Linked DNA regions of Rattus norvegicus. The protein of the gene in region 1 interacts with the protein of each later gene in a pairwise test. Links are inferred from orthologs where the notes say so. Each region holds a gene or a part of one and is shown on either strand. Other genes may lie near its edges.

Region 1 (9,999 bases):
GCACCCACATAGTACCTCACAGACTAACTTGTCTGAGGGAATCTCACGCCCTCTTCTGGCCTCTGAGAGCATTGCACACCGGTGGTACACAGACAAAACACCCATACACATGAAAATAAAGAAAATGAGATTTTTAAAAGGTAAATTCTGTTCCTCAGCCACTTTTCTCCTTGTCTCTAATTTTTGAGACAGTAACTCAGAACTCTGTAGTTCAGAGTTCTGGCCTGAGAACTCTGGCCCAAGCCTCCAGATCCTGCCACAGACTCTCACACGCTGGCACGACATGTGTGCCAGCAGCCAGTCTCACTTGCCACATGTATTCAGTGAGTGCTAAATGGAAGCCCGGACAAAACACTTCTTCTCATCATGCTAGAAGGTTCTAGAAAAACTGTAACGAACAACACCTATGGCCCAACAGTGGCAGCGCACAGGCCTTTGATGCCCGCACTCGGAAGGCAGAGGCAGGTGGACCTCTGTGAGCTCCAGGACAGCCTGGTCTACAGTGTGAATGTCTGGACAGCCAGGACTAATAGTGGGACACTGTCTCGAAAAAACATAAAACCAAAATAAATAAATAATTACACACACACTCAGGGGGGTGGGAGAGAGAGAGAGAGAGAGAGAGAGAGAGAGAGAGTTAGCATGAGCATGAAGACAGGGAATCTTAGTTGTTAGCTGAGGAATGACTATTATTTGTCCGTGTGCTTGAGTATATTTCTGTGTACCTTGTGCAGAAAAGGGTATTGGGTCCCCTGGAACTAGAATTATAGGTGGTTGTGAACTGGGAATAGAACCCAGAGCCTCTGTATGAATGGTAACCCTCTAAACCACGGTGCCTTCTCTTTAGCCCCATTAGCCCTCGTCATTTATGTTTGTAAGGAAACTTCAGAGAAAGCAAATCCTTTGTGGCAGGTCACACACACACTCACCCGGACTGGAGGTTTCGGTATCACATCCCTTCAAGTTAACAATCTGTGGCTACCCACTTCTCGCTAATATTCTCATGCTCCCTGGCCTTTCCGATCAGCCTAATCTTGAGGTTCTCCTTTCTGGATACTTGCTTTCTGCTTTGGTCTGGGTCAGGCTACCACAGTGCCTGCTTTCCATCCAGGTGCCCGCTCCCAGCCCTGGGTGCAGTTCCAGCGTAGAGCTGCCCGCCTGCCCGTCAGCTCCACCTACAACCAGCTTTGGGCTTCGCTCACCCCTGCCAGCACCCAGCAGGAAATGCGGGCTTTCCCTGCCTTCCTGGGGACTGAGGCCTCTAGCTCAGGTAAGCCATGTACTTAATGTAGAGGCACCTTTCCTTCCTTAAGGGCATAGCCATTAGTGCCAGCGTCTTCTTCCCTCAGGCAATGGCTCCTGGCTGGAGCTGATACCCCTGACTGCTGTGAGCGTACACCTGCTAACGGGCAATGGGACAGAGGTGCCTCTCTCAGGCCCCATTCACCTGTCCCTGCCAGTACCCTCAGAGCCTCGTGCCCTTGCTGTGGGCACCAGCATTCCAGCCTGGAGGTTTGACCCCAAGAGTGGTAAGTGTTAGGGGCAGGGTGCCCGTGCTAGAGGCTGGGGCTTCTGTAAGAGGTGGCAGAACACTGGGTTTGATGAACTCCTCTGGCCTCTTCCAGGGCTGTGGGTGCGAAATGGCACTGGTGTGATTCGGAAGGAAGGCCGACAGCTCTACTGGACTTTTGTCTCCCCGCAGCTAGGGTACTGGGTAGCTGCCATGGCCTCCCCTACATCTGGTGAGATCCGTGGGGCAGTGGGGGAGGGGCAGAGGGGAGCGGGAAGGCTGGGAGAGCTCAGGCCTTGTGAAAGGCAAGAAGGGCATCCTAAGCCCTTGCCTGGCACAGGGCTGGTTACCATCACCTCAGGCATTCAGGACATCGGCACGTACCACACAATCTTCCTGTTGACCATCCTGGCAGCCCTAGCCCTGCTGGTTCTCATTCTGCTGTGTCTTCTGATCTACTACTGCCGGTGAGTACGCCTGGAGCCCTCCCCGCCTTCTCCATATCCCTAGGCTTTCGCTTGTGCTCTGCATTGGGGTCCCAAAGATGCTTCTAGACGATCAGTGCTTCCAGGAAAGAATGGCAAGGCAAGAGTTAGACTCCAGAGACTGGTGGCTTTAGAGAAACGGGTGACAGGTGGCAGGACCTGCAGGTCTTGCCTCTTCAGAGACCATCTACAATGGCTTCAGCCAGCCCAGCTCTCACTTCCAGGAGACCCCCAGAGCAGGCACTCCTAGCTGGTGTACATGCCAAGCGTTGCCAAGTTTACCCCGGTGAAACTGAATGAATGCATCTCCTGGATGAATGAATGGTCCTCGTTCTACAAACAGCTCCCCCCAGGCATCATCTGGGTTCCCCACCATTTCTCTTGAACGTTCCCGGCATCCTCCATCTCCACCCCACCTGCTTCATCCCTTGTGTTGGTTTACGGAGATACCTTTCCTTTCAGCATCCCTGAGCGCCTGTCTCTTTCCTCCTCTGCAGACGACGCTGCTTGAAACCAAGACAACAGCACCGCAAGCTGCAGCTCTCCGGCCCCTCGGACAACAAACGAGATCAGGCTACGTCGATGTCTCAACTCCATCTTATCTGCGGGGGACCCCTGGAGCCTACGTCGTCGGGAGACCCCGAGGCCCCTCCCCCAGGCTCCCTACACTCGGCCTTCTCCAGCTCCCGAGACTTAGCATCCTCCCGGGATGACTTCTTCCGTGCCAAACCGCGATCCGCCAGTCGACCAGCCGCCGAGCCTCCTGGTGCCCGCAGCGTTGAAGGTGCCGGGCTTAAGGGCGCCCGCTCCGTCGAGGGTCCCGGCGTGCTGGAGCCCAGCCTGGAAGAATACCGGCGGGGTCCAGCGGGAGCCGCTGCCTTCCTGCATGAGGCCCCCTCGCCGCCGCCGTCCTTCGACCATTATCTGGGCCACAAGGGGGCGGCCGAGAGCAAGACCCCCGACTTTCTGCTGTCACAGTCGGTGGACCAGTTGGCGCGGCCGCCGTCCCTCAGCCAGCCCGGCCAGCTCATTTTCTGCGGTTCCATCGACCACCTCAAGGACAACGTGTACCGCAATGTCATGCCCACCCTGGTCATCCCCGCACACTATGTGCGCCTGGGCGGAGAGGCGGGCGCCGCGGGAGTGGGCGACGAGGCCACCCCGCCGGAGGGCTCGGCCGCCGGCCCCGCGCGCCCCTTCCCTCAACCTGATCCCCAGCGCCCGCTGATACAGGGCCACGCAGGTGCGGGAGGCGACGGCGGTGGCGGCGAGGGCTGGGGCGGCGGGCGCTCCGCACCGGTCAGCGGTTCGGTCACCATTCCGGTGCTGTTCAACGAGTCCACCATGGCGCAGCTCAACGGCGAGCTGCAGGCTCTGACCGAGAAGAAGCTGCTGGAACTGGGCGTGAAGCCTCACCCGCGCGCCTGGTTCGTGTCCCTGGACGGACGTTCCAACTCGCAAGTGCGCCACTCCTACATCGACCTGCAGGCGGGCGGCGGCGGTCGCAGCACAGATGCCAGCCTGGACTCAGGCGTCGACGTGCACGAGGCTCGACCTGCGCGCCGCCGGCCCCCGAGGGAGGAGCGGGAGCGCGCGCAGCCACCCGCGCCGCCGCCGCCCGCGCCCCCGCGCCTGGCGCTCAGCGAAGACACAGAGCCCAGCAGCAGTGAGAGCCGCACAGGCCTCTGCTCGCCAGAGGACAACTCGCTAACGCCCCTGCTGGACGAGGTGGTGGCACCCGAAGGCCGGGCAGCCACAGTACCCAGGGGTCGGGGCCGCAGCCGTGGGGACAGTTCCCGCAGTAGCGCCAGTGAGCTGCGGCGCGACTCGCTCACCAGCCCCGAGGACGAGCTAGGGGCGGAGGTGGGTGATGAGGCTGGCGACAAAAAGAGCCCGTGGCAGCGGCGGGAGGAGCGGCCGCTAATGGTGTTCAATGTCAAGTAGTGCGGCCCGGGGGTCGCCCACCGCCCCTGCCGCCAGTGCAGATTCCCAGGGTGCGCGCCCCGGGATGCTGCAGCAGAGGGGCATACGCTCTTAGCCCGGAGAAGAGCTCATGGGTCAGCTGAGCTCATCTGTGGTTTGTGCTGGGGGAGTGTCTTGGGAAGGGACCCTGGATTGGCCTCTAAGCAGAGGGAGGTGGGAGGGACCCGGTCCCCTAAGGGAGGGGCTGGGGAGGAGGGCAGGGGTGGGGAGCAGTGCCTGTATAAACGTGGCTGTACATAGAAAGATCTATTGTGGGAGCAGGAGGGGCAAGCCAGCCTCAGCTGCTAGGGTGAGGGCTGGGAAGGGAGGGACAATCTCTGTGGACCCTTGGGAGGGGAGGGGTGCTGCTTGGATGTCACAGGGCTGGTGGCTGGGGCGGTCCTGGGGACTATAGGATAATGTGATGACACTCTGGACAACAACAACAAAAAAAAATACAAAACTGGTGAGGTTAAAGCTCTGTGTGTGTGTGTGAGTGTGTGTGTGTGTGTGTGTATGGGGGGGGATTTTCCCCCCTATGGGGAATGCTGATACCAGAGGACCCTGGCACACCAAATCAGACACTGTTAAGAAAGTGTACAAACTTTATTGGAGCAACACGCTCGCACGCGCGCACACACACACACACAAAAGCAAGCTCACACAACACCTGTGGATCGAGAAGAGCACCTGGCCACAAGGTCCACAGAAATCAGAAGAAATGGCAGTTTGATACGGGGCTTTTGCCACAGCCTTCTTTCCATAAGAGAAGGTCTTAGTTTGAGGCCCCACCTTCCATGGTGATGGGGTGACTCAGAATGAGTAGGCCGGGGAGACTAAAGGAAGAGGTGCCAGGGAGGCCTGAGTGGTGGATACCCTCAGAACAGGGTTCCCAGGACTGTGGAGTTCTTTAGTCGTTAGCCCTTCCTCACAGTAGCGGTCTTGGGGCTGGATCCCTCAAAAGTATGTCCCAGCGAGGGGTCTTCTTCCGCAAACACTTGGTTCCCTTGGCTGAACAGTGGAAGCCAATGGGACAACAGTGACGTCCATCTCTACAGCAGACACCCTGGATGGTCAAGGGAGAGTAAGTACTAGACAAGACAGAACACAGCCATGGCCACACCCAGCCACAGGGTCGGGGACAGCACTGACCTTTACATAGGGACAGCAGGCCCAGCCTCCTTGGCTGTCTTTACAACAGGACTGGTTATCATGGCAGAAATGTCCGGCACCACATTCCACATTCCCAACCTTAGAGCCAAAGGTCAGGTCCATGGAAGGCTGGACAGAGCCTGCATCCTTCTCACAGGTTCTCGCCTTCACGTTGCAGGTGTACCCAGCCGGGCAACAGTGCTGCCGGTCCTCACAGCACACAGCCTGTGGAGCAAGAGAATGGCTTGCACTCGTACCCCAAGAACACAGCTCCCTTCTCCCAGGGCAGTGGGTGGAGACTCACATGGGGCAACTGGCAGCAGGCCCAACTTCCCTTCAGGCTTGGGCAGCATGTTTGCCCTACTGGGCAGCTGGTATGCTGGTCACAACCAATATCTCCATGTTGGAGCAGAGTTGTCTGGCGGACAGGCATCTTCTCCAGGCCAGCCACCATTCTGTCTCCCTTCTGACAGTACCCCTCATCCATACATTTGAAACCCTGAGGGCAGCAATGCTGGTGGTCTAAGCAGCAGACAGCCTAGCGGTGGGCAGAGAAGAATGTTCCTACAGAGGATCATGGGAGTCTACCTCTCCTGCTCATAGCTTCTCCAGCTGGGGACAAATCACAGCACTGGGTGCCACCCCGGACTACGCAGAGTGCAGAAGAATAAGGCTACAAGACTCTTGTCACCTACCTACCCAGGCCAAGATGCTATCCCCACCCCTCTGGGCTGTTTCGCTTCCCTCGTTACCTCTGGGATGGGACAGCAGCCCCAGTCCCCAGAACTGAGTCTGCAGCAGGTATTGTTAGAAGGACAGCTACTGAAGTCATCACAGGGGACATCATTCTTCAAGATCTGTGGGTCTGGCAGGCTGAGGGAGGCCGTGACCTTTTTCATCCAGGGTACCTGAAGGACTCCCAGTTCACAGGTTCCTGTCTCTGTGTGACACTGAAACCCGGCTGGGCAGCAGTGAATGTGGTCTTCACAACACACAGCCTTAGGTAGACAGAGAGAGGCCCCGATAAGCACTGGAACCAAGCTAGCTGCCCCCTCGGCTCGGACCACTTGTGCCCACTGCTCCCAAGTACCTTGGTGAATGGACAGCAGCCCCAGGCCCCAGTGTTGAGGCGGCAGCAGGTGTAGCCATCAGGACAGCTCACCTCCAAGTCGCACTTCACCTCATTCACTGTGAGGTAGGGAGAGACCAAGTCATCGAAGACAGTGTGACCAGGCGTCGAGAATGGAGCACACAGCTATCCCAGCCACAGTGAACCTCATGCAAGCCATCAAAACCCACCCCATAGCGTTCCGTAACTGAGAACCCTCTTTATTGAGCAGATGAAATGGGGTCCCATACCTGGGTATCCAGGCAGCTTGGTCATGAGATCTGTGGTGTAGTCCTTGGATATGCACTTGCTCTGGATCAGGTCACATACAGTGTCCTGGGGGCAGCAGTGCAGGTGGTCGGAACAGCAGATGGCCTAGGTTGGGACAAGTAGAAGTCTCTGAACTCTGGCGAGCATAGGGAGCAAGCCAAGCTGATAGCATGCACTGCTCCAATCGGCCACTAGGGGGCAGCACGAGCCTTAAGGCTCTCAGATCAACCGAGTGCCTGGAGCCCCCTTGTCCAGATCCAGGGGAATCCAGCCATTCACTCACGTTGGGCATTGGACAACAGCCATACTTCCCAGTGGGTAGCTCACAGCAGGTAGAGTCATCAGGGCACTGGGTCTTAGCATCAGGGCACACCACGGAAAAAGGGAAAGCCACTGAAAGAGCAATGAAGCATGAGGGAGGGGCTGCTAGGATAGAGGGACTTTTCCCCTTCACCCCCAGGTGCTGGCAGGGTGGCTTCGGGCCTCCTCACCTGCCCTGTTGGTCCTTTGTGCGGGGAATTTCTTTAGTAAGGGGTGGGTGCCCGTGGGTGAAATGCATCGCGTGTGAACCAGGTCACAGGAGGCCCCGTGGGGACAGCAATGCACTCTGTCTTCACAGCAAGAGGCCTGAGAAGAAACAAGTGGTCCTAAATCCATCTGTGTCAGCCCCGGACCCCAGCATTACCCTTCTACCCATAGGTGCCACATTTCCCACACCCTATACCTGGGGCATGGGGCAGCACCCCCAGGAACCATCAATCATAATACAGCAGGTGGCGGAGTCAGGACATTCGAACTGGCTACCAGGACACTGGACAGCACCCAAGAGGCTATCTGCAGATCCAAGAATCCAGAATTCCATTAATCCAGTTGGTCAAGTACCAGTACCATCACTGAAGGAACTGCAGGTCCAGCTGCAGGAGGCTTAGCGGTCAGTCCCAGGGCTTAGGTGATCTCCCAGGACCCCACCAGCTAGCTAGCCCCTACTGCTAAGACATCCAGTGAAACTGGGCTGGTGCTCAAATCACTCCGGCACGGCCTCTCTGTGTCCCACAACGCTGGAGTGTCTGTCACCTTCTTCTCTCAGAACTGCCCCTCCCAGGGCCACCCAGGCAGTTGGGCTCCTGGGCACTTCAGGTAACTCCTGATGTCCGTCCCCACGTGCCCCCTCCCCTGTGCCCCACAGCACCTGATATCTGAGAGCAGGATTTCCCATCCACACTACAGTGGAAGCCCCGGGGGCAGCAGTGCTGGCCATCATCACAAGATACACCCTATGGACGAAGAGACACCTGTGTGAGCAAGACCCTTTTGCCTGGGACTAGAAGAGTGAAGGAAAGGGGTAAATGCAGATCTTAATCAATCTCCTGTTCCCCTAAGCCAATGGCGGCCTCACCTCAGAGAACGGGCAGCAGCTGGAAGTCCCAGACACAGTGAGAAGACAAGAGTAGCCATCAGGACAGTGGTCACGGATCTGGCAGGAGCCATCTAGACGACGGCTCGTTATTATAGGCCATGTGTCCTGGAAAGAAGAGATGACATCAATCAAAGGATCTGTGCCAGTCCTCTGGCCAATCTGAGGTAGACAGTCCTTCAGAAAGCCCAGGCTGCCAACTGGGGCATGAGACACTCACCAGAAGAGGGTTACAGCAGCTGTAGTTGGCTCCTCCCTGGTCAAGGCAGCAGGCAACAGGGCAGAATTGACCATCTGGGCACTGTGTTCCAGCCACCAGCCTTGCCACTAAGGCCAGCCAGCTCACCAGGATCCACATGGTCTGCCTGCAAATGCCAAGCAAAGTCTGGCAGCCATCTTGAAGCCTGTGCCACCTTCTACTCCAAGGCTGTGCATTCCCCTGTGCTCAGGCCAAGGCCTTGGGTTTATTGAGCATTCTCAACGGGAAAGCAGGCAGATGTGTCGCTCGAGTCAGCGCCCTACCCGTGCACGGCACTCGTGTGTCAGCTTGCACTCACTGTGAGCATGAATGTTGGCAGGAACACCAGTGTCGATTCATATGGCCTAACGCCTGAGAGTCTGAGTGCGTGGAGAGGAGGGGAGGGGGTTATGACAGTCGGGAAGGCATGTGGCTTTTGTGGCTTTGATTTATGGAACTGAGGACTAATTGGGAGGCAGAAGAGACTTTAGCAGCCATAAGAGGAAGCCAGCCCCACACCATCCCGCCCGCCTAACTCCACCCCGGCCTGGTACCAAACTGTCTGCCACCTGTAGCTTTCAAAGGCCTTGGGGGACAGAGTCATCAGTCACATGATCATATGGGAAACCTAGCGGTGGAGAAAGTTGTAAAAACAGAAGTACTGTGGCCAGTGGGGTCTGGGCTGGCTTCCCTATGGGCCAGCCACTGCCTACCCACAACTGTCCCCACCCCACTCAAGGGAAGGGGACACAGAGGCTAGGTCAGCCTCAAAGCTAACTTCATGATGAGGCCTTCCGGACATCACCAGGGTCCTTTTGGACTCCTCAAACAGACTGCCTCTGTCTCTCCCTGATCAGAAATCGAAACTCAGCTGCAAGTGGGAAGAACCAGTGGACCTCTTCACTGACTCTCTGCCTCAGCAGGAGGAACTGAACCTCTCACTTCCCTATAAGCCTTTTCCCAGCTCAGATGGTCTACCCAGCAACCCAGAAAGATGTTATTCTGCCTAGAGCAGCAAACCCAGTAATATTCAAAGACCCTCCAGGGAGCCATTTTCCCCTCTCACTGTATTTCTCAGCAATCTATGAAAAGCAATAATTAAAATATTACTTTCACTTTTCAAATCCATGCCTAAGGATCAAGCCAGGGGGGAAAAGACAGGGTATTAGACTGGGTTCATATGCCAACCGTTGTCTCTGGTCATTGCCAGGGAAGGACCCTGATTCCCAGAGGCCAGAGGTGCAGAGGGATGGGGCAGAAGATTTCTTGGCAGGTGACCCAAGCAGGATAGAAGCAGGGTGGGTACAGGGACTTCGTTGAAGCTGCAGTTGGGTTTTAGTCCTGGAAGTAACACTCTAATCTATGACTGAGGGCCTCAGAAATTGTTCCTTCCCTGTGTCTCAAGTCTTCAATCTCTGCCTGGACACTGGTGGCTACAAAAGGCAGGAAATGCCACCCACGCATGGCAGGCATGCTTTTGATCCCAGCATTTGAGAGGCTGAGGTAGGAGGGTTGCAAGTGCCAGGCCAACTTGGGCTACAAGGTGAATCCGAGGGCAGCCTGGGCTACAAGGTGAATCCCAGGCCAGCCTAGGCTACATAGAAGGATCTGTCGTCTCCCCCAACCCCCTCTCTTTCCTTTTTTAGGTCCTTCCAAGTGCTCTTTAACCTAACCCCCACCCACATAAAAAAAAAAATCCCAGAGGCCATTTCCTAACCAGGAAGGGGTAAGGGAGACCCAATTCCTCTCAATAGGACTGGGGAGTGGTGAGCCCCTGACCACCTCTACATTACACAGCCAGGGAGAACCGGAGCCTTTCAAAGCCCTAGCTCCGGCATCTTCCACTAGGTGGCACCCCCC
Region 2 (10,640 bases), on another chromosome or scaffold:
TTAGCAATGGCAGGACCGGTTATAACAAAGGATTTTAGTGCTTACTTGTGGTGGCCACTGCTGTGGCGATGGTGGTGATGGTGGTGGTGGTGATGGTGTTTTGAATGGTGCTGGTCTTTCTCAGTAAGAGATGAAGATGAGGAATTGGAATGTGAAGACCCCAAACTCTTCCTCTGTTCTTTTGTCTTCTGTAAAACCCTCTTGTATGATAAGGTGCAGAGCCAACACAGTAACTTCCCATCCACCTTCGAGGAAAACAGCTGGGTAAGTGCACTTGCAAACGGGCTGCAGCAAGTCTAGCAAGCCACTCAACCTGCAAGCACTTCACTCCACATGTGCAACTCTTACTTTCGTGAAATTCCAGAATAAATGCACGTATGCAGATTTTTTAAACTGAGCACAAATATATGTTTGGATTAACACTGTAAGGGGATTATAAAATTAGCTACGAGCACTGATTTATAGACCTCCAGCACTGTTCAAAGTAATTTTAATTTTGAGAGACACTGCCTTTATGTAGTCTAGAAGGTAAGTACAACAGGGGCTGGAGAGACAGCTCAGGAGTTGAGCGCATGTTTTGCTCTTACAGAGAACCCAGGTTCAGTTCTTGGCACCCACATGGTGGCTCACAATCAGCTACAACTCCAGTTCCAGGGCATACAGAAGTCCCTCTGACTTCCTCGGGTATTAGATAGGCACATGGTTCACACATGCAGGCAAAACATTTATAGACATAAATCAGTCTAAAAAAAAAAGGAGTACAAATGGCTGATTATTTCAAAGAAATCTAGCTGGAATGTTTTAGTAGTGAATTACCAAAATGACAGTTACTTCCCACAAGAGTAAACACTGACTTAAACAAGAACAGAAGCTGTAACAACAATCAATTCTCATTATATTCAGAGTTTATATATCTGTAGATTTGCCTATTATCTAAGTCTAGACTCCTATTTATGGTCATTCACATAGATGTGGAGCAGCACAAAACTCCTGTTAGCAGGCGTCACAGCCCCACCTATAGCAAAACAAGCCAGGATTCTCTTCCGTGCTTCAGCTCTCACACCGTAAACCACTGTTCTTTCCAGAATCATTCAGTACTGCCATTCTTAGTTTTAAAAAGGCTGTGATGGACCTTAGAAAAAAAAGCTAGTTATAGTTTTGTTCAGTTATTATTACTGCTCCTGGCCATGAGTTCAATTAGGTTCACATATAAGTTATCTTCAACAGACACTAAAATCACAAATGTATTGGATAATTGTAAGCATGTTAAGATTATAGGCAGGAACTTACTCCTGAATTCCTCTTAAAAACTACAGCTTGCTATTCACTGGTGCTCCTGGCAACTTTACAGACAGGAACTACTGCAAATAATGAGAACCAATTGTGTGAGGCCAGCGGAGAGAAAGTGACTTCTTTCCAAAATTAAGGTCTAGTTTCTGCCTTTCCTCATTCCATACAGGAAATGCTGGAGGGACATGTCTTACAACTAAGGTACATACAGTGCTGTGGGGGATCTGGGTAAGCCCCTCAAAGTGACAGTCATCCTCCAAAGCAACTGAAACTGACACACAGGAGGCTTGTGTGAATGCTCATCAGCAGAGGAATGGCACATACACCTAATAATTACGTCACTGTAGGCAGAGAGAAACAAACAGGAGTTTCAAACACGAGCCAAACAAAAGGCAGACACTAACTCTGAATCTTATGTGCTAATATGCCATCTGGTGTTTTTTCTCACAGCAACAATTTCAAGTAACCAGCAAGCATATACGTAAAAGGATTCACTTCAAAACGGAACTGGAATGAACAGTGCAGAACGCCTATCACAAAGGATTATAAGCATTCTCACTCAGGACAGTTCTACTGTACTGTCTAGGCTGGTCTTGAATTTCTGGGTTCCAATGATCCTCCTGCTTCACCATCCCACAGAGCTGGGACTATAGGCACACACCATATTCAGCATGACAGATCTTTCGGGTATAGTCATCCTAACTGGTCAACATGAACCCACACATGATGCAAAGTCATAATATGCTACTCCTCCATTTCTGTTTTCAAGTAGCAGGAACCAGGGTCTTAGAGGTGTACTGATTATAACAATTGCCAAGTTTGGTGCTTTAATTCTAGAAGATATCATAACGTAAGTAAACATACTTTTCTTCTTCCTTCCTCCTTCCGATCAAAAGCACACTGCTGTTTGCACTGTTCACAGGTTTGAGGTGCTCCATATTTTTTTTCTGAATTTGTACAACGCTGACACTTGGTACCAATAAATGCTGCAATTATGTTACAGTACTGACAAGGCTTAGGCTGAAAAATAAACATATTTTGTTTAACCGAGATATTTAAAACTTTGTTGCATATGACACATCCAGTGTTAGTAATCTACTTGGGGGGTTAATGAAGAAAAGTGTTAAGTTAAAAACATTTGTTTCTGCCAAGTATATATTCAAAGACAAATACTATGGGTCTATTCATTCAACTAACATTTATTGCTACGGTCATGAAGCTCACTACCCATGCTCAGAAATCTGACCACTGTGAGAAAGACAACGTGCGTGAGTCCTCAGTGGACTTATACGGCATTTTTACGGCATTTTTATACAATATAAAATTTGTTTATGGACTTAAAGTTATTCACAGTAAAGTCTCATAACCTTTAACTTGAGGATATGAACTTAAGAGTGATTTACTAGCTAGCTTAACTGTTACATCATTTATGCAATCAAAAATAATTTTACCATGCATAGGTTGTTGCCACAGTAAACATAAATATCTTTTCAATATTAAAGAATTGTATTGCATATTCAATTTAAGTAAGAATAAGCATCCTTGATTTCTTGTATATTCAGGACAGTATAGAGTCTTAAGGTCAGCACTTTGACCAATCATAAACAGCACCGATATTACTATCAACAACATGCATGCGCATGCATGCGCACGCACGCGCGCACGCGCATTAGTCAATTTGTACCAAGATACTGTCATTGGTTTTGAACACTTGAATGGTGCTGCCATATAAAAAGTCCCAGAAATCAGGAGAAAGTTTGATTATTGAAAATAAATATGTTCACATTAAGGAGCTTGCCTCATTGGTACTTTTAAAAAATACCTTCACAAACTTCACACTGAAATAAGCTATAAAGCATCTAAAGCATGCAGTTGTTTTTAAACAACTTCATTTTCCCACTAACAGTACAGAAAAAGTTTTCCAAGAACTATGTTGATATGTGCAGATTAAGTACAGAGACTGGACTGTTTTGTGAGAAAAATCATGAAGAACTGAAACTAGTCAATAATAAGGACTTGAAATGAAAAACATACTTACTGTTCCAAACTGTTTGACATTTTGAGCACACTTCTTACAAATTGTGTTAGTTTTGCTGAAAAGGAATTGTATTCAGATGATTACTCATGCAGCTTTCCATGTAGGTATCATGTGCTGGCCTATAATAAATCTGTACATGACTTATTTTGGGTTAACTTTAGGATAGTTTTCTGTAAACCCAGTTTTCTTTAAGACAAATTTTCCATATACTATTTACGTACTACAGTGCCTCCAGGTCTCAGGATATATGCCCAGGTTGGTCTCTAAGTGGTAATTCTCCTGCCTCCACCTCCAAACACTGTGCTTATAGGCAACCAACTTACTGCATATTTTCTGTAAAGAAAACAAAGCAGAAGCCCTAATGTCTTCCCTCTGGTTCTAAACATTCCCTTACCAATACGAACGCACATTCTCATGCATCAGGGCCCACCTCACTTCCCAGCCTGCCCTTTTCCACTGCCATGTCCACATACTCAGTAAGAAAACCACTTGTTCTCTTGAGTTGACTTTGTGTCCTCTAAAAGAGGGGTCTACTGTTAAAAGCATCTGTGCTAATCACACTGCTAAAGGCAGAGACTGCAGTCTTAGAAGGCAGTTGGAAAGACTGTAGCTCTTTCCTTAGGCTAGTTAGCAGTTTCCCCTTAAAAACAGTTTAAAAGTAATTGTTTATATTTTGATTGTTGGCAGAAGTATACATTTTCCATCTATCAATTTATCCCTTATTTTCACGTGTTCAAGTTGAAATCTGGTTCTAAAATAAAACCAGGATTTCTTTAGTTAAATGTCTTCTCTCATACTGCACATAGTAGCTTTTCATTTTAAATTTCAGAAACAAAAGCATTTTTTCGAAGCGCTTTAACACAAATATTACAACCCCCAGTTATTCCTTATACAAATGTGTAACAACGAAAAACTGCTCAGTATACAAACCTCTCCTGCTGAAATTCTGATCTGCAGTAAGTACATTTTACAATAGGATGTGCAATCCGACATTCCTGTAATAAGATAATACATAAGTCAGTTTTTATCTCAGACTCCCAACCTTGCTCTTCTGCTAGAAATTAATCGACCTAGTCAAGTGCCTGAAATGTCAAAAAAACCTAGCTGGCAACGTAAACAACTGGTGATTTATCACATTAACTGCCAGTTAGAGTATAATTCCATGGGGATATTTTTGTCCTTAGTGGATGCGGAGGGTCGAGGAGATATGGAAAAGATAAAAACCAAGGAAGCTGTCAGGACTGACTTCCAGGGGGTGATTTACATGTGAAACTATTAGTTATTTTTGTACAGTTGCTCACAGACAGCATCCCAGCTTTTATGGGATGGGAGGAGCTCCAAATCAGAGCACTCTGTTCCCAAACCAGTCGCTTCACTTTCCGGGACAGAAAAGCAGGATGCCATCAGCTCTGCAGCTTCAGGTTCGGGTTCCTAGCAAGAAAGTGCAAACACGGCCCTGCCTCCCAGTGGAAGGAGAAGGCAGTCCCTCCCAAATCTGGTATGAGAGAGTCTGCACCGGATCTCTGCGACACGGTGGACTGGTGGCCTCCTGGCTCAGCCCCACCCGAGACCGCCAGGCGCGGCCGAGTCAGCCCCAGTCTGAGAGCAGGCGGGACGCGGTCGAAACGGGTCTCGCCCACATAATGCCCGGACCCTGGCGGGGAGCGGTGCGCTGAACGCCCGGCGCCCACCGACCTTGCAGAGCTGTTGGCCCTGCGATAGCTCCTCGAAGGGGTAGCGCTGCGTGCACTTGGTGCAGGCGTACAGGGCCGACGCCGCCATCCTGCTTTCCGGCTCCTCCGCGCGCGCTCAGGCGGGGCCTCCGGGAACTCGGCTGCCCCGCCCGCGGGCTCTTCTGCCGCTGCGGCCCCGGCCTGGCAACTGCCGGGCCCCCTGCGTCCCCCTCCGCCTCCGACGCCGTCCCGGGACACCTACTACCGCCCGCCCCGCCGCTCCAGCTTAGGCCCGGACCGTGGCGGAGGGAGACGAAGCGGGAGCAAGGCTGTGGATTCCGCTTCCTCCTCGGTCTCGCGTCCCTCCCTATGATTGGCTACAGAGAGCCCTCACGTCACTCGGAAGCTCCGCCCAGTCCCTTGCTTCGGTTAGGCAGGGAGCGCCCACAAAGAGAGAAAGAACCAACCAATAGGAGGCTGCCGCTCTCGGAGCGCGAACTCCGCTTTGAAAAGATCCCGCCCACAAGCCGCGGCCAGTCATCCTTTGGCTGGTGCGCCTGAGCCCATTGGGCACAGGTTCACGAAGCGCCATTTTTTTTTCAGTCCTTGGCTTCCATTGGACCATGTCGTTAAGCCCCTCCTACTCCTGTTTGTCATTGGCCGAAAGGTCAGTACTTCACCTGGAAAGGCAACGCTCTCTGGAGTTTATTCCTGGGATGTTGATGGAGTGTATCAACTTTCCAATCACCTTTATTCAGCTTCCGTCATCCACACCAGTAGGCGCTGAAGGCTCCAGAAGCTCTACCCTTTGCTTCCTCCTTCAAAACATTCATCCCTTTCCAGAAGCTCCCAGAGCAGTCTGCCAACTCACGACGTTGCCGTCCCCGCAGGCTCCGCTGTGCGCTACCTTGTGACGTCACCGAGAGAAGAGGCGGGCTCTCCCCTGCCACCAGAAGTTGTCCTCTTTTCTGATTGGTCACTGGAAGGCGCCTGTCAAGACGCGTTGCCTTTCCCTTGCGCGCTGAGTGTGGCATCCTTGTGGTTTGTGAGACCGAGGCTCCTATAAGGTTCACAGCTCGCCCGCCCTTTCCATCGGGGACTTGGATTCGGCTTGCCCCAGGCGTGCGGCTGTCGAATCCGGGGGAGGGGCTCCAGGACGGCGGCCCGCGTTGCGCAGGTGGGAAGATGGCGGCGGCCTCGGTCTCGGCGGCTTCTGATTCTCAGTTTTCGGTAAGGGGTGGCGTTTGTGTGGGTTCCAGGTGGTCTTGGACGGCTCTCTGGGTTGCTTCACTTTTCAGGCGCCTAGATCTGGCGTCAGCCCTGGTCCCGCAGGATGGCGGGTTGCCCGAGGACGCGTGCCACTCCGGGAGGCTGCAACTGTGTCTTCTGGAGCAGCAGCCCGCCTCCTTTCCCGCTCTGCGCTCGCAGGTCCTCGCAGCCGGAGCTGTGGAGCGTTGTCCCGAGCCAGGCTGGTGCACGCTCAGGCCTGCTAAAACAAAGCCCCGTCAGTCACGTGAGCGTAACGGCCCAGCTCGGAAACCCTCAGTAACAGGTAGATGTGCAGGTCTGTAGAGTGACAGCCGCTGAGGCGTCCGTGGTCCCCAGAGTGCATTTTCGCCGTTGCTACAGGGCCTCTCAGTGTCTGTTGCGCGACCCTTGCAGCCGGAGCCCGGGCATCCCTACTTCCCATGGCATGACTAGGATACAGTGTGGAAATGTTGTTTTGGAGAAGCGATCGGGGAAATTAAACCGGCGAGATTAGTCACTGGTGTTTTAAGAGTGGATTGTGGAGCTCAGTCTTTTGGAAAACGCTCCACTAAGAAGAGATAGGAATTAAATGTGAGAACGCTCGAGTTCTGTTTAGAGATGCCCCTGTGCCTAGCTGACCCTTGGTCCTAAAGTTACAGGGAAGAATTGAATAGAAACCCCATTCTAAAGAAGGAGCAAAGCACCGTACTAATTAGATAATTGCTGCGCTACAGGCTTGGGTACCAGAGGAGTCTGGGAGAGATTGATTAGCAGTATTAGGGAAGATAGGATCTTGAAGAGAGGGTGAGCTGGCTGCCCTGTTGAGAGAATTTTAAAAGAAGAAAGCACTGCAGGTTTAAGATCTATGTGGCTAGACAGTAGGAACGTCCAGGACCCCAGAGACATCTAGAGGTAGCAATGATTAAGAAGAGCTAGAAATAAAGGTGAAAATGAATAATGAGGGATGTCAGGAAATTATCAGGGTAATTTTAACAGCGGATGAGGTAACTTAGGAATCGTAGTTTCAACTTTCTGTGGCTACTAGAACTTGTGAGAAGGTCAGAATATTTCGTTTTCCAAACAGATCTAAGATCTAGAGAAGAGATGAAGCAAGTCATTGGGAGTTAATCCAGTGTCAGGTCAACGGAAGGTAAAAGAAAAACTACCAGAACTAAGTGCCAGCAGATGCATGAATTATACGAGATACAGTTGATTAAACCTGGGGAAGGAGAGCTCTTTCTTTGCTCTCAAAACTTAGAAATTGGAAACTCAGGCAACTTCGATTGAACTGCACTCAAGGCCATCAGGGCAGTGCCACAGGGATGCAGTTAATCCCTAGTCCTTAGGGTAGACCCAGCAGAAATTTAAAGCCTGTTTCATGGAAAAATAGATCTTGTGACTCTGTCTGGAGTTGGGAACAGAAGAGAAACTATTTTTACTCCACCATAGTAAATGTGTGTAACAATAGTGTTTGAAATAAAAGGTTTGGAGATGCGTTGATAGAAAGATGCTGTTAGTAGGGTAACAAGAAAATGCCTCCGTGTTAGGGTGTAAGCAGGCAACTGGAGGTAGGAAGGGACCTTTGCAAGCAGAATAATTGCAGCAATGAAAATAAGAGTAGGGCTGGAGAGATGGCTCAGCGGTTAAGAGCACTTGACTACTCTTCCAGAGGTCCTGAGTTCAATTCCCAGCAACCACATGGTGGCTCACAACCATCTGTAAAGAGATCCGATGCCCTCTTCTGGTGTATCTGAAGACAGCTACAGTGTACTTATATATAATAAATGAATAAATCTTTAAATAAGAAAACAAGAGTGGATTGTGGGTATTTGAAATCAAAGTCCGTATTGCTGAAAAAACTGGTAGGGAGACTATCAAAAGAAAGTGTCAGGAAACGATATAAGGGTTAGCCTGGTACTTGCTACATTATGTGGGAATTGTGTGAGTGGTAAGAATTTTGAGTTGTAGTCCATGGGGTTTTGATTAGATCTATTAACTTGACTCAGTTTTTAAAGGATCATTATCACTAGCAAGCTGATTGGAAGAGCAGACTTAAGAAATGTAAAAAGTGAGGGGTTGGGGATTTAGCTCAGTGGTAGAGCACTTGCCTAGCAAGCTCAAGGCCCTGGGTTCAGTCCTCAGCTCCGGAAAAAAAAAAAAAAAAAAAGAAATGTGAAAAGTGGTGTTTCAAGTAATTCAAACTAAAAATAGAGCTATAGCAATATTAAAGTATAAAAGATTCTAAATATGTTATGGAGAAAGAACCCTGGATGATTTACAGAGAGTAGATGAGAGGTAAATAAAAATTACCTCTATTGGGTTTTATGTTTGTATGGGTTAGTTTGGTAAATGGCAGTGGTCTTTGTTTTGGTATGCTGGCAGAGGAGCAGATTTGGGGACTAACCAAGACTTTAGTTATAACCATGCTGCATGTTAGTTGAGACATCCAAGTAGCTAGTGAATAATGTGAATTTAGAGTTTTAGATTGAGATCTCCATTCTGTGTTTTAAATTTGAAAGACAAATAAAAATGAAGAGCCTGAGAGTAGATGAGACTTCCCAAGCGGTTAGAGATCCAGGGAGTTGATGAAGGAGAGTCTATGGGATTAAGGGGAAATCCTTGTTGGGTTCCTCCACTGAGGGTTATGTGAACGATCACAGAAATGTGATCCATGCTTCTGAGAGATTGCTGACTTCAGCAATGTAGAGGAACTGGTGAGTTTGATGAGCTGTTTGCTTCTTAGGAATGAGTAAAGAGGGGTGACTTAAAGTAGCAATTGCAAACATCCTTTGAAAGATTATTTTACTTAAAATTTTGATAGTTTTAATTGATGTGTGCATGATGATGAGGGGAGGTGCACCTGCCACAGTTTGTTTTTGGAGATCACAGGACAGTTTTGGAGTTGTCTCCTTTCACCATTAAGTGGATTCTGGGAAGTAAACTCGGTTCATTAGGCTTGTTCAGCACGTACCTTTATCTACTGCACTAGAGTTTGTTTTAAAAAAAAACTCAAGATCAGTCTAGGGTTGAAGAGTCTTGTAGTTCAGGAAAAGGTTTTGTCTTTCCCCTTTCCTGGCCCTGGGACAGATGTAGTGGAGAAGGGAAATAGAGACACCAGGAGGGGTTTAATCTGAGGAGGTGAGACTTTGAAAAGCTAAGTGGAGACAGACAGGTTGCTTGCTGCTAGTTTTGAAAGAAGGAAGAGCTAGTTCATGGATTTTCTTTTTAGAACTAGTTGTTTATTCAGTTCAAGTGATCACATAAATTTTTTTGCTTTCGTGAGGGGGAACTAGAACAAAATCACTTAGTTTAGCTTGAATGTTAAATGATGGGATTCTAGCTGTGTCTAGCTAACCAATAAAAACACAGTGTTCGGGGCTGGGGATTTAGCTCAGTGGTAGAGCGCTTACCTAGGAAGCGCAAGGCCCTGGGTTCGGTCCCCAGCTCCGAAAAAAAGAACCAAAAAAAAAAAACAAAAAAAAAACAGTGTTCTCTGTTAGTTATATGTAAGATCAAGGTACCAGACAATTCATAATAACATTGACAATATTTTAAGAAGTGAAAACTTAACTGTTTTTCAGGTTACTTTCAAAATAAATTTTTATTATTATACAGGTATTTGGAGAGTTCTGCTTACTCCAGGACATACATGGTTTATTGTTGCGAATACCCATCATTCCTTTGCAGACTTCATTAATACAAGATTGAAAATCCTAATGTGTTATGACACTGAGAAGGCCGATGAGTGTGTGAGAACTCTGAACAGCTGGCAGTCATCCTGTCTTCTACCTTGGCTCCTAGAACCTCCATGACTTCCCTCTTTCCTGAGTGTCCAAACTATAAACTCACCACTGCTAAAATTCTCGTTAACTTTCAGAGGTAGACTGTGGTAAATATATGTCATGTAGAGCATAATGTCAAATCTGACAGATTCATGACAGATGCTATGAGAATATCTGATAAGCCTGAAGGTGTTTTACAATTGTTTCCCCTTTTTGGGAGCTAAATATAAATTCTTTAAGAAAAGAACATGCTGGTATCTATGGGCTGTGTTGCTGTAAGAGGACCATGTCTGGGTCCATGGTCTTCCCGCAGCTGGAGCCTTGTTTCTACAGATGTTACAACCGAGGGCCATTTAGATGTCGGTGTTAGAAGCTGCTACCCGAAGCCCATACTGCCAGCAGGGGCCATCTTGGACTGTGCAGCCACCTGAGGCCACTGCAGCAGGGGGGGCTTTGTTGATATCCATGGACTGGGCTGCCACCTAAGGCCATACAAATGTCTGATCTGTGCTGCTGCCTAAAGTCATGTTGATGATGTGTGTGGGTTGTGTGGGACTGTATGGGCCTTTGTAGCCTGTGTTGACCCCGGAGGTCATGTGCTGTCCTTGA
Region 3 (8,795 bases), on another chromosome or scaffold:
GTTTTATTCATTCCCTTCTATTGTTTGTGTTTTCATAGATTTATTTAAGGGATTTACTCATTGTCTCTTTAAGAACTTTTATAATGTCCACCGGGGACGTTTTTAAAGTCTTTCTCTTGTGCGTCAGCTATCTTGGAATAATCAGGATGGGGTTGCTGGGCTCTGGTGGAGACATATTGTCCTGGCTGTTTTGATTATCTTTTTTATGCTGGCATTTAGACATCCGGGTTTGAATTGATTATAATTCTCAGCGCTAATTTCTGTTATTGTCTTTGTTGATTAAGTGCTCCCCCCACCTTGTTTTATGTTGCCCATTCTGGCTCTTGGAGGCTTTAGTGGCTATGCGTTCTCTAGTAGAAAATTCTGGGACCTTGCCAGGTGTGGCCACTCCGGTTCTATGTAGATTGTGTTCCTAGGCACTGGGAACTTACACTTAGGAACTAGGATGTGCTGGTGGGGCTAAAGGAGTTCACAGGAGGGAGGAAAGCATGGTGTGCACCAGGATATAGTTAGTTCTCTGGAAATAAGGGCAAAGAGTGAGGAGAGGCCACAATATGTCAATATGTCATCTGTTTCAGAGCTGGGGATGAGACTGAGGCACTGGATTTAGAGGAGAACAGGGAGAGAGGGAGATCTGAATCTTGCCTACCTGCTGCTTCACTGGCCTACTTGTTGCTCTGAAAGGCCTATTTGGCAGCTTCCCAGAGTTGGGGGCTGGGACAGAGAACAGGGTTGGGAGGAAGTTTGAAGGGGAGGTTACACTAAATGATCTGATGCAGAGCTGGGCTTGAGATTCAGAGGACAGGAAGATGAAGTGACATCTGCAGTAAACCTGCCTTCTCCTGTCACTCATCAATCTAATATTTCTGAATTTTCTAAATGGCATCACCTCTCTTTGTTATAATATTTCTCACTCCCTCTTTGTGCTCCGCAATACCCTCTTACATCACTGCGTTTTTATCAGTATTTACCATTTATTTTCCAACCCTTTCTGTGATTGAACTGTTTACTGTCACATTCCTAGCACCCAGAAGAGAGTTTGCCATGATGCAAGGGTGTCTTGCATGCTTAGCAATGTATCATGCTGAAATAATTTCAAAATATACAACTGTATTAGTCATACCACGCAACAACACACTATGTTATTGGACTGAACAGTTTGCCTTTTTAAAAAAGGTTTTTCTAGTTATTTCAGGAAGCAGAATCCAGCAAAGTAAAGCAATTTAATAATTTAAATAAAAATGTGACATGATGGGCCTGGAGAGGTAGCTCAGCGGTTTAGAGCACTGGATGCTCTTTCTGGAGGACCAGAGTTTGATTCTCAACATCAATGTTGCAGCTCAGAACCATGTGTAACTCTGGTTCCAAGGGTTACAAGGCCTTCTCCTTACTTCTGGGCCTATCAGACATGCATCTTATGCAAAGACTCATTAACACACAAAACAAATTTATGTAAAAGGCAAGGGACAATAGGAATCACATTACCACACCCATTTAAAATGTCTTGCTGTAGTTGTAACTTCTGTAAGGAAGTTTGGGGTAGCTCATCCTCTAGTTCCTTTGAAGAGAAGAATTTCTGTCTGGTTTCTGCAGTTGGAATGGTAGACCCAACCTCAAGTCCTTTTTGTGAATGTTTATCTCTTCAATTATCAGCGCCGATACACTGTCTGAGCATGCAGAATTTTCTGGTCTCATGTTTTTGTTTGTTTGTTTTTATTTTTCTTTCAGTTTGAAAGTTCTTAGCTACCAATACTTATGTCTTTCTTGTTTTATTTCTTTGCCTCATGTTCAGTATACCAGAGACTTTCTATCTTCATGTTATGTCATGTCCAGCCTCTAGCAATTTCTAGGACACATGGTTCATGTTCTTGCCAGTTATAAGTTCAGCATCTTTTGCTCAAAAAATTCAAAGAAATAGTTTAGAAGTTGGAAGAACGTCACAGGATTTTAGTACAATGATCGCATGACATGTGCTTTGGGAAGATGCTTTATGGTTCCATGTTGACGCTCAGAAGCAGGTAGGATGAGTCTATGGACCAGCCTTCAGAGTAATAGTGACATCTTTAGCACAAAACAGCCCATGTGTTATAGTTCCATTAGTCTCACTTTGAGATGATCTCCTCTTCAGAAATGTAACCAAATCTATTACAGCTTCATGTCTCGCTCAGAGGCAGACTCTTCTAAAGACTTAATTGTCATGGTTGGGTGTCAGGAATCTGTCTAGGACGGGATTCAGAAACTGAAGGTACAGATCCCATCTTCTCTGGCAAATGGGCCTTACAACAACAGCATTAGGAACGTGAGAGGAGCTGCTCTGTCACTCTGGAGCTAAGGTTGTAAAGGCAAAGCTTTTATGCTACCTACAGGACACTTTAGTCGCACACCCAACACTGCAAAATAAATAAATACTTGTTTTTAAAAGGAAGAACTCACTGCCAGTGCTGGAAATTTTATAGATAGGATTAGAACTGTGAAACAGCGGCACATGCCTCATCTGGGAGAAAAGACTACAAGTACGTGTCTGCTTCTTGCTATTTACCAGGCCAAGTTTCTCTCAGAAATATGGCAGAGAGAGTGGAAGTGCTCTGTCATCTCAGAATTTAGTTTGGGCTTGTAATGGACCTATGTCCTTGGTCTCTTATCTCACAAGTGCTTTTAGTATTTAAAAAAAAATCCTTTCATTGAATCTCTATCTCTCTGTTTTGCCCGATGGCTTTTTGATCATATTTCTGAGAATACACATCAGAGTAATTTAAAATCCTTTTCCGATTATTCTAGCATCTATGTCACACTTAAGTCTGGTTTTAATGTTCTTCTTCCTTTTTTTCTAATTCTTGCATTTGAAGAAGACCATTCCCAGTATCCCCAAAAAGATGACCACTTACATACTTACAGTTCAGCTTTATTTAATTAATGGGGTTTAATTATGATGTGTTCCACAGTGTATGACTTCTGGCAAACTCTGATAGTACGTATCAGACTTCTTTACACCTCTGTCTCTTCTGCACCCCGCCCACATAACTCTACATAGCGTGAGTGTTCATGGTTTCTTAGTTGTTGTTTAAGTCCAAGGTTCATTAATGAATTTGCATTGTGTTGTGATACTTCCAACAGACGGAGAAGGTCAAAGTGTTCTTGATAGTGGCATGTATAAAATGGTGGTGATCATTTTAAAAGAATACATTTAGGGGACACTGTATGTCAGACAAGAGTGTGGGTACATGGTACTTGCAATGCTAAGTAGTAAGGGCTAAATCCAGAGAAGAAGGCAGGGCAACAGCAACCAAGAAAGTACTTATCCTGTCTTATGGAATCAGATCAAAGGAAACAACCTAGGTTCACACAGGAGCCTATTGCCTGGTTTGCAATTAGAGAATATTCTGGTGGAGGTGTGTGCAATAGAAGTCAGAGGTAAGAGGTTTAGTGTTGAGCTCTCCTTTTGACCATAACTTTGAGAAAGGTCATGATTTGGTCCCCCATATTTTTCTGAGGCCATTACACTCCTAAATAATAAACCATTGTCCCCATGTCAGGTAGCATATACCTGACAGTGCAGTGTCCCCTAGCAAATGAAGTCAGGAAAGAAAACTCAATGCACTAGATTCTTAATTCTGGATTAATCTCGTTTATTATAGTGCAGATCATATCAGGTAGATTATCTTCCCACCTAAGCAACATGAGTGGCAATAGGGGCCAAGATTTTTCAAGGGAAAGATAAAAGCAAGTCACAGTGTGAAAGGAACAGTTTGCATTAACAGAGACACGGTGCAAACAAGGAAAAGCAGATGCTAACTGGAAAGAAGTGAACATCCAGAGAGTTGCAAGTTTTATCCTGGATCTTCGTCATTGCTGTTCACTAGAACAAGGAGGCTACTGGCCTCCTTGTGCAGAGCAAGATGGACGACAACTGCCAAACACAGGGATCGCCGGTTGGCAACCACCGCAGACAGGCTGCAGAGGTCTCAGGCTGTTTGACACAATGTGAATGGTCTGAGGGCCATAGGTCACACAACCTGAAGGCCTACATCCATAAGTGACGATGCCCACGGGTCGGCAGCTATTGGATACACAAGGGAGTGGGCGGTAGCCACCAGATCCACAGCTTACAGGACGGCAGCTGTTCATGAAAGGACTCACTGGCCGGCAACTGCTAGATACATAGCTCACGGGCCTGTAGGATGCTGGGAGGCAAGATCCAGAGATGAAGGAAGTCGTGGGAAGATAGCCAGATCCATGACAGGGTCTGGGCACACAATATGCAGAAGAGCAACAAGAGTTTTCAAAGCCGCTGGCCTCGCGGCTGGGTGGCTGGCCACTGATAGGTTCTGCAAAGGTCTCTGGGCAGTTGTCCATGAACCAGGTGTGGTCTTGACAGTTGCTGGGGACGCAGAAGACCTCTCCGCAGCCCATGTTTGTAGAGCAGAGGGCAATGTTGGAGCTGGCTGGGATGTGGCAGGAATTCCTGAGGGATCCAGAGGTGCAGCTGCTGGAGCAGTTGTTACGGTTAGCCATAGTGAACTGGAGAGGGTGGTGGTGGTCTAAGAGCGGCTGGGAGCACGTCAGGTGTGAGTGTGACACCCCATTCGTCTTGTCCCTTTATATATTCTCAGAGAGTGGCAGTTCTGTCTGCAGACTCATCTTCCTTGTTGTCTGAGGCCGCATCTGAACGCTCTCATACCCAGGAAGTAGCGCTCCTACCTCCCATAAAACTGGATGATCCCCGAAATGCCTCCCATCGATTGACTATAACCATAAATCAGTGTGCCTGGGTTTTAATAGGGCCCCTGGTAAATTTATCCAGCCCAAACAGATACTTTGGAAGGCTGTGGACTCACTACAGTTCTAACCACCAGCGCACAAATAGTTTTCTTAAGAATCCCTCTTGGAGCCGTCTTTGAAATTTGAAGCAAACTACTTTGAATAGTGGTGAACTACACATAACTAACTGAGAAATAATTCTATTCTCTTTGTAACATGGGCAAAAAGATATCCTATAAAGCAAGACGTTTGCAAAAGAAGATTTCTTTTTTAAAAAAATTCTTACAACTTTTAGGATCAAAAGACTTTTAAAGGCCATCCTGGGAAAGACCCCTGCCTGTTTTTCTTTATTTCAACATCTGAATAGAAAATGGTTTCCCATGAAAATATGTTTATTCAGAAAATGAGTGCTTGCTTCATTAAAACCTAAGGTTGAATAAACAGTCATTTGAGGTTGTGTTTTGTCTGTGATCGTTTAGAATATAGGTAATGAGATGTAGTTCAGTTAAAATGGTCGACTCCAGATTGAACATGAGCAAGTACATTAAAAAGGTTGGACAAAATGTCACGTATCATGAATCTAGCAGGATTATATATTTCAGGGTTTTCATATGACCACTGAAGTATATTGTTCCGGATAAAAAGAAAAAAAATCTACTATAATGAACATGGCATTGTTTATTTCCCACATGTGACCTCAATTTCCAAAAGGGACCCCATGCATTGGTTGGCATAAATAATCACATTAGAATTGTATGCAAACTTTTGCTAGGTTTGAGTACTTTGAAGGCTTTTCAAAAGCTGCCATGTCTCTGTCTCTACTAATGTGGTTTAAATGCATGGAGCTGGTCAGTCTCCACCGTCCACTGCGGTTTTCACAGAGTGGCGTACCCAGTACCTCCAGTGGCTATTTTTAATGGGAATTTAAATTATCTGTCAAAAATCTCAATTCCATTCCCTTTGGCTAAAAATTCAATTTAAATCACAGTGCTTTCTTCTCTTTTAATGTTCAATGGTCACAGCCACACTTATCCAGTCTCCCTCTGCCCAGGAGAGTAGAAAATATGAACCAGTGCATGGGTCTCTCTGCAGCAATCCAGGTCTCTTTTGCCAGGAGGGATATGCGTGAAGATAAAGCCATATAGGCTCTGAGGTCTTATGCGCATGAGCTAAATTTAGCTCAGAATATGAGGGAAGAGCCGTCACTCTTTGACAGTCTATGTTTGATGCAAGTGAGGAACCCATCCTAGGACTTCATCACCAGATACTTTGTAGGCAGTGGATGGAGTCTTCTTGTGCAACCTCAGACACATCTGCTAGCATTAGTCATGGGTACAGCCATACTTAGGTTAGTGTTTATCAAATTTATGTTTAGACGCTCTTTAGTTGTGCTTATCTCTAATGTAACCAAGAGCCCAGCATTTGTGTCAAGAGTCCATCGCTGAGGCATGTACACATGCACGGGTTCGGTATGTGTTCTATGCATGGTTGTTTTTTAACCTAAAGGGGAGTGTTAAAGAATTACAAATATTTAGAACTTAGTCAGTACTTACTCCATGAAATGCCTGGTGGCACTGTCATGCCTAACTCTGCTGTCAATACATCATATAACTTTAGAAGGTGAAATATTACTGTTTTAGGTATTTGCATCTGAAACATAGAACATTAGAGTAATAGACATCAAGAAAATGCTATAAATGCAAATTCCTCACATCTCCAAACATTTTTATTCCCATAATCTAATGTGGCATCATACAGAAATCAATATACACATGAATATATGTTGTCATCTAACAACTACATAAACCTGGGATTAATTAATTTATGTATCCCCTGCCACTGTCAGTATCACTTTTACCTACAAATATACACACAAAATACTGCAAACTTTCAGGAAACAGAGAGTCCTGAAGTTTATTCCTATAGGCTAAATAACTATGTTACTGTCAGGGTTTGTTTGGTCCAAATACTAAGCACCCTACCTGCAGGGTCCTATAACTTACAGACGGGCAGGCTCATGTCATCCTAGATTCCACAGAGTCCATGATAATCATGTACCACACTGAATGAACACACATTGTAGCTTTATATTCAATGAATCGGGGACCTTACCCCTCCAACTTTACAAGGAAGATTGTGAGTATTTCTATCTTGGATGAACAATCTTCACCACATTCAACCGTGAGTGTGTGCCAAGAGGAGACACACTTGATTGTTTCATGCATTTGTTAGTTTAGAAAACATTTATCAAGTATTCCAGACATATACCAAAGAATAAGAGAAACAATAAAACAAGATGAAAACCATTCTTGTCCTAGGGACCCTTCATTGGTGGACAAGACAAAGTCGTGTTTACCAAGGCCTATAAGCAATGTACAGAGAAGGCAAGGAAACATCCATTATCCTTGATTAAAGTTGACATATTGTACTAATTTTTATGGATAGAAAGACATGGCATGGGAATCTGGAAAACAAGGAAAGAATTCAGGCAGTAGGAAAATACATAAACACCAAAATAATTGACAATAGGAGTTTTTGAGTGAAAGATTCCAATCGTGTTGCTAAATTTAGACTGGCTTGCTGGATGTCTTCGTGTTAGTAGGTAATAAATTAATGCTCTCTTCCAAAGAAATAGCAACCAAGTATCTGTTTTTAGAAAATGATGCTAACAGTAAAGTGAAGGGTAGATTGGGAAGTGACCTATGGTGTCTTTCCATTTTCAGGCCTCCATGATCGTGCATTTCACGTATTCCTAACTCTGTAACCCATGCTATCAGTAACACTGTCTTTTGTGAATCCTGTATCTGTGATTCCTTCCCAATGCCTCCTCTTCTATGTGAATGTTGTGTTTAGAATCATATCCCCAAAGTTAATTACATCATGAAACTCTACCCAAACACTAATGGTTTCCAGTTGCCCACACAGAAGAAGCCAGGCACGTGGCCAACCCTACTCTGCTTCCAAAACTGTTTCATAGACATTCTTGGTTTGCCTGTTCATGTCTAGAATCACATTGCTTCCTCTTTCCATGTCATCTGCCAGATGACTGCCATTCCCATTCTGTCCTTGGAAATAACTACAATTTTATTGATCTAGCCTCTAAGTAATTTAACTCCTTTTTCATAATTACTTCCCAGACCATTCCTGCCAAACTGGATTTCTCTAGTCTTTAACTACATATAATCACCATCATTTAACATCACTTTAACTTCCCTTTTATGCTGTATTGCTCAACTCCCTGCTGCCTGAGTCTACCTTGTTTCCTCTGTTGTATGCCCTGCTCTCTCTCCCAACAAATGCACACACACACATACACAAAGAATGCAGCCACTTCTCAAGCAAAACATTCCCTGTCTTATTTCTCAACTATAATATAGGACCTGCAGTGGCTACCACTTATGGTGGCCTTCCTATCATTATTACATACCAGACAGTATTTTATATGTTGTACACTTAATATTTAATTTAATTCTCACCTACTTAGTAGGCGTGATCACTATGGAGGAACTCTGCCTATTGGCAATAAATATTCCTAATGGGCATCATAGCAGTCACGAAATATGACCTTTATCAAAGTTAACATTTACTTACTTAACAATCTCTTTCAGGTACTTTTTTTAAGCCTGGGAAATTGATTTATTAAGAATATGAAGAACTTGGAAACAGGAGGAAAGGGTCTTCTTGTTTTGAGAAACTTATACCTATCATGAGCATGCATTGCCTGTTCCCTAAATCCACCTATTCTCTCTCTCTCTCTCTCTCTCTCTCTCTCTCTCTCTCTCTCTCTCTTTCTCCTCTCTCTCCCCCTTTCCTTCTTTATCTCTCTCCTGTCCTCTTAACACCCTTGTTTAAATCATTATTAAAGCTGTTCCTTGGTGAACTTCAACTTGCCTTCAAAAGAGACAGCAAGAAAGCAGGAGCGCTTCACAGTCTTTGTCCTGTTTCTCATCAGCAGAGTCTAATATTTCTGCCAATAGTCACCTTAGCTTGGCTTAGAGAAGCATAACCTGACCTAGATAAAGCACCTCTTGTTCTGT

Evidence for each region.
Region 2: the proteins of Grn (region 1) and Fam76b interact in binary tests that used the Homo sapiens proteins (3 or more experiments, as listed by UniProt). The link is inferred for Rattus norvegicus from reciprocal best matches to the Homo sapiens genes GRN and FAM76B.
Region 3: the proteins of Grn (region 1) and Krtap26-1 interact in binary tests that used the Homo sapiens proteins (3 or more experiments, as listed by UniProt). The two-hybrid records come from large-scale screens. The link is inferred for Rattus norvegicus from reciprocal best matches to the Homo sapiens genes GRN and KRTAP26-1.

What each region holds. Positions count from the first base shown.
Region 1 is NC_086028.1:87,888,484-87,898,482, reverse strand, and holds the end of Grn (progranulin isoform a precursor), read right to left. Parts: intron 8,267-9,999; coding exon 8,122-8,266; intron 8,010-8,121; coding exon 7,884-8,009; intron 7,762-7,883; coding exon 7,677-7,761; intron 7,322-7,676; coding exon 7,212-7,321; intron 7,115-7,211; coding exon 6,979-7,114; intron 6,881-6,978; coding exon 6,771-6,880; intron 6,593-6,770; coding exon 6,469-6,592; intron 6,298-6,468; coding exon 6,200-6,297; intron 6,108-6,199; coding exon 5,862-6,107; intron 5,648-5,861; coding exon 5,414-5,647; intron 5,335-5,413; coding exon 5,110-5,334; intron 5,024-5,109; coding exon 4,886-5,023; 3' UTR 4,545-4,885; downstream 1-4,544. Other genes in the region: protein FAM171A2, read left to right, coding at 1,112-1,270, 1,350-1,529, 1,626-1,742, 1,851-1,977, 2,493-3,939. UniProt on the Homo sapiens protein: Secreted protein that acts as a key regulator of lysosomal function and as a growth factor involved in inflammation, wound healing and cell proliferation. Regulates protein trafficking to lysosomes, and also the activity of lysosomal enzymes.
Region 2 is NC_086026.1:18,966,238-18,976,877, reverse strand, and holds the start of Fam76b (protein FAM76B), read right to left. Parts: upstream 5,342-10,640; 5' UTR 5,111-5,341; coding exon 5,024-5,110; intron 4,324-5,023; coding exon 4,259-4,323; intron 3,390-4,258; exon of another isoform or gene 3,384-3,389; coding exon 3,329-3,383; intron 2,311-3,328; coding exon 2,155-2,310; intron 1,632-2,154; coding exon of another isoform or gene 1,500-1,631; intron 246-1,499; coding exon 46-245; intron 1-45. Other genes in the region: Cep57 (centrosomal protein of 57 kDa), read left to right, coding at 6,187-6,231. UniProt on the Homo sapiens protein: Negatively regulates the NF-kappa-B-mediated inflammatory pathway by preventing the translocation of HNRNPA2B1 from the nucleus to the cytoplasm.
Region 3 is NC_086029.1:41,447,437-41,456,231, forward strand, and holds Krtap26-1 (keratin-associated protein 26-1), read right to left. Parts: upstream 4,513-8,795; coding exon 3,871-4,512; 3' UTR 3,819-3,870; downstream 1-3,818. UniProt on the Homo sapiens protein: In the hair cortex, hair keratin intermediate filaments are embedded in an interfilamentous matrix, consisting of hair keratin-associated proteins (KRTAP), which are essential for the formation of a rigid and resistant hair shaft through their extensive disulfide bond cross-linking with abundant cysteine residues of hair keratins.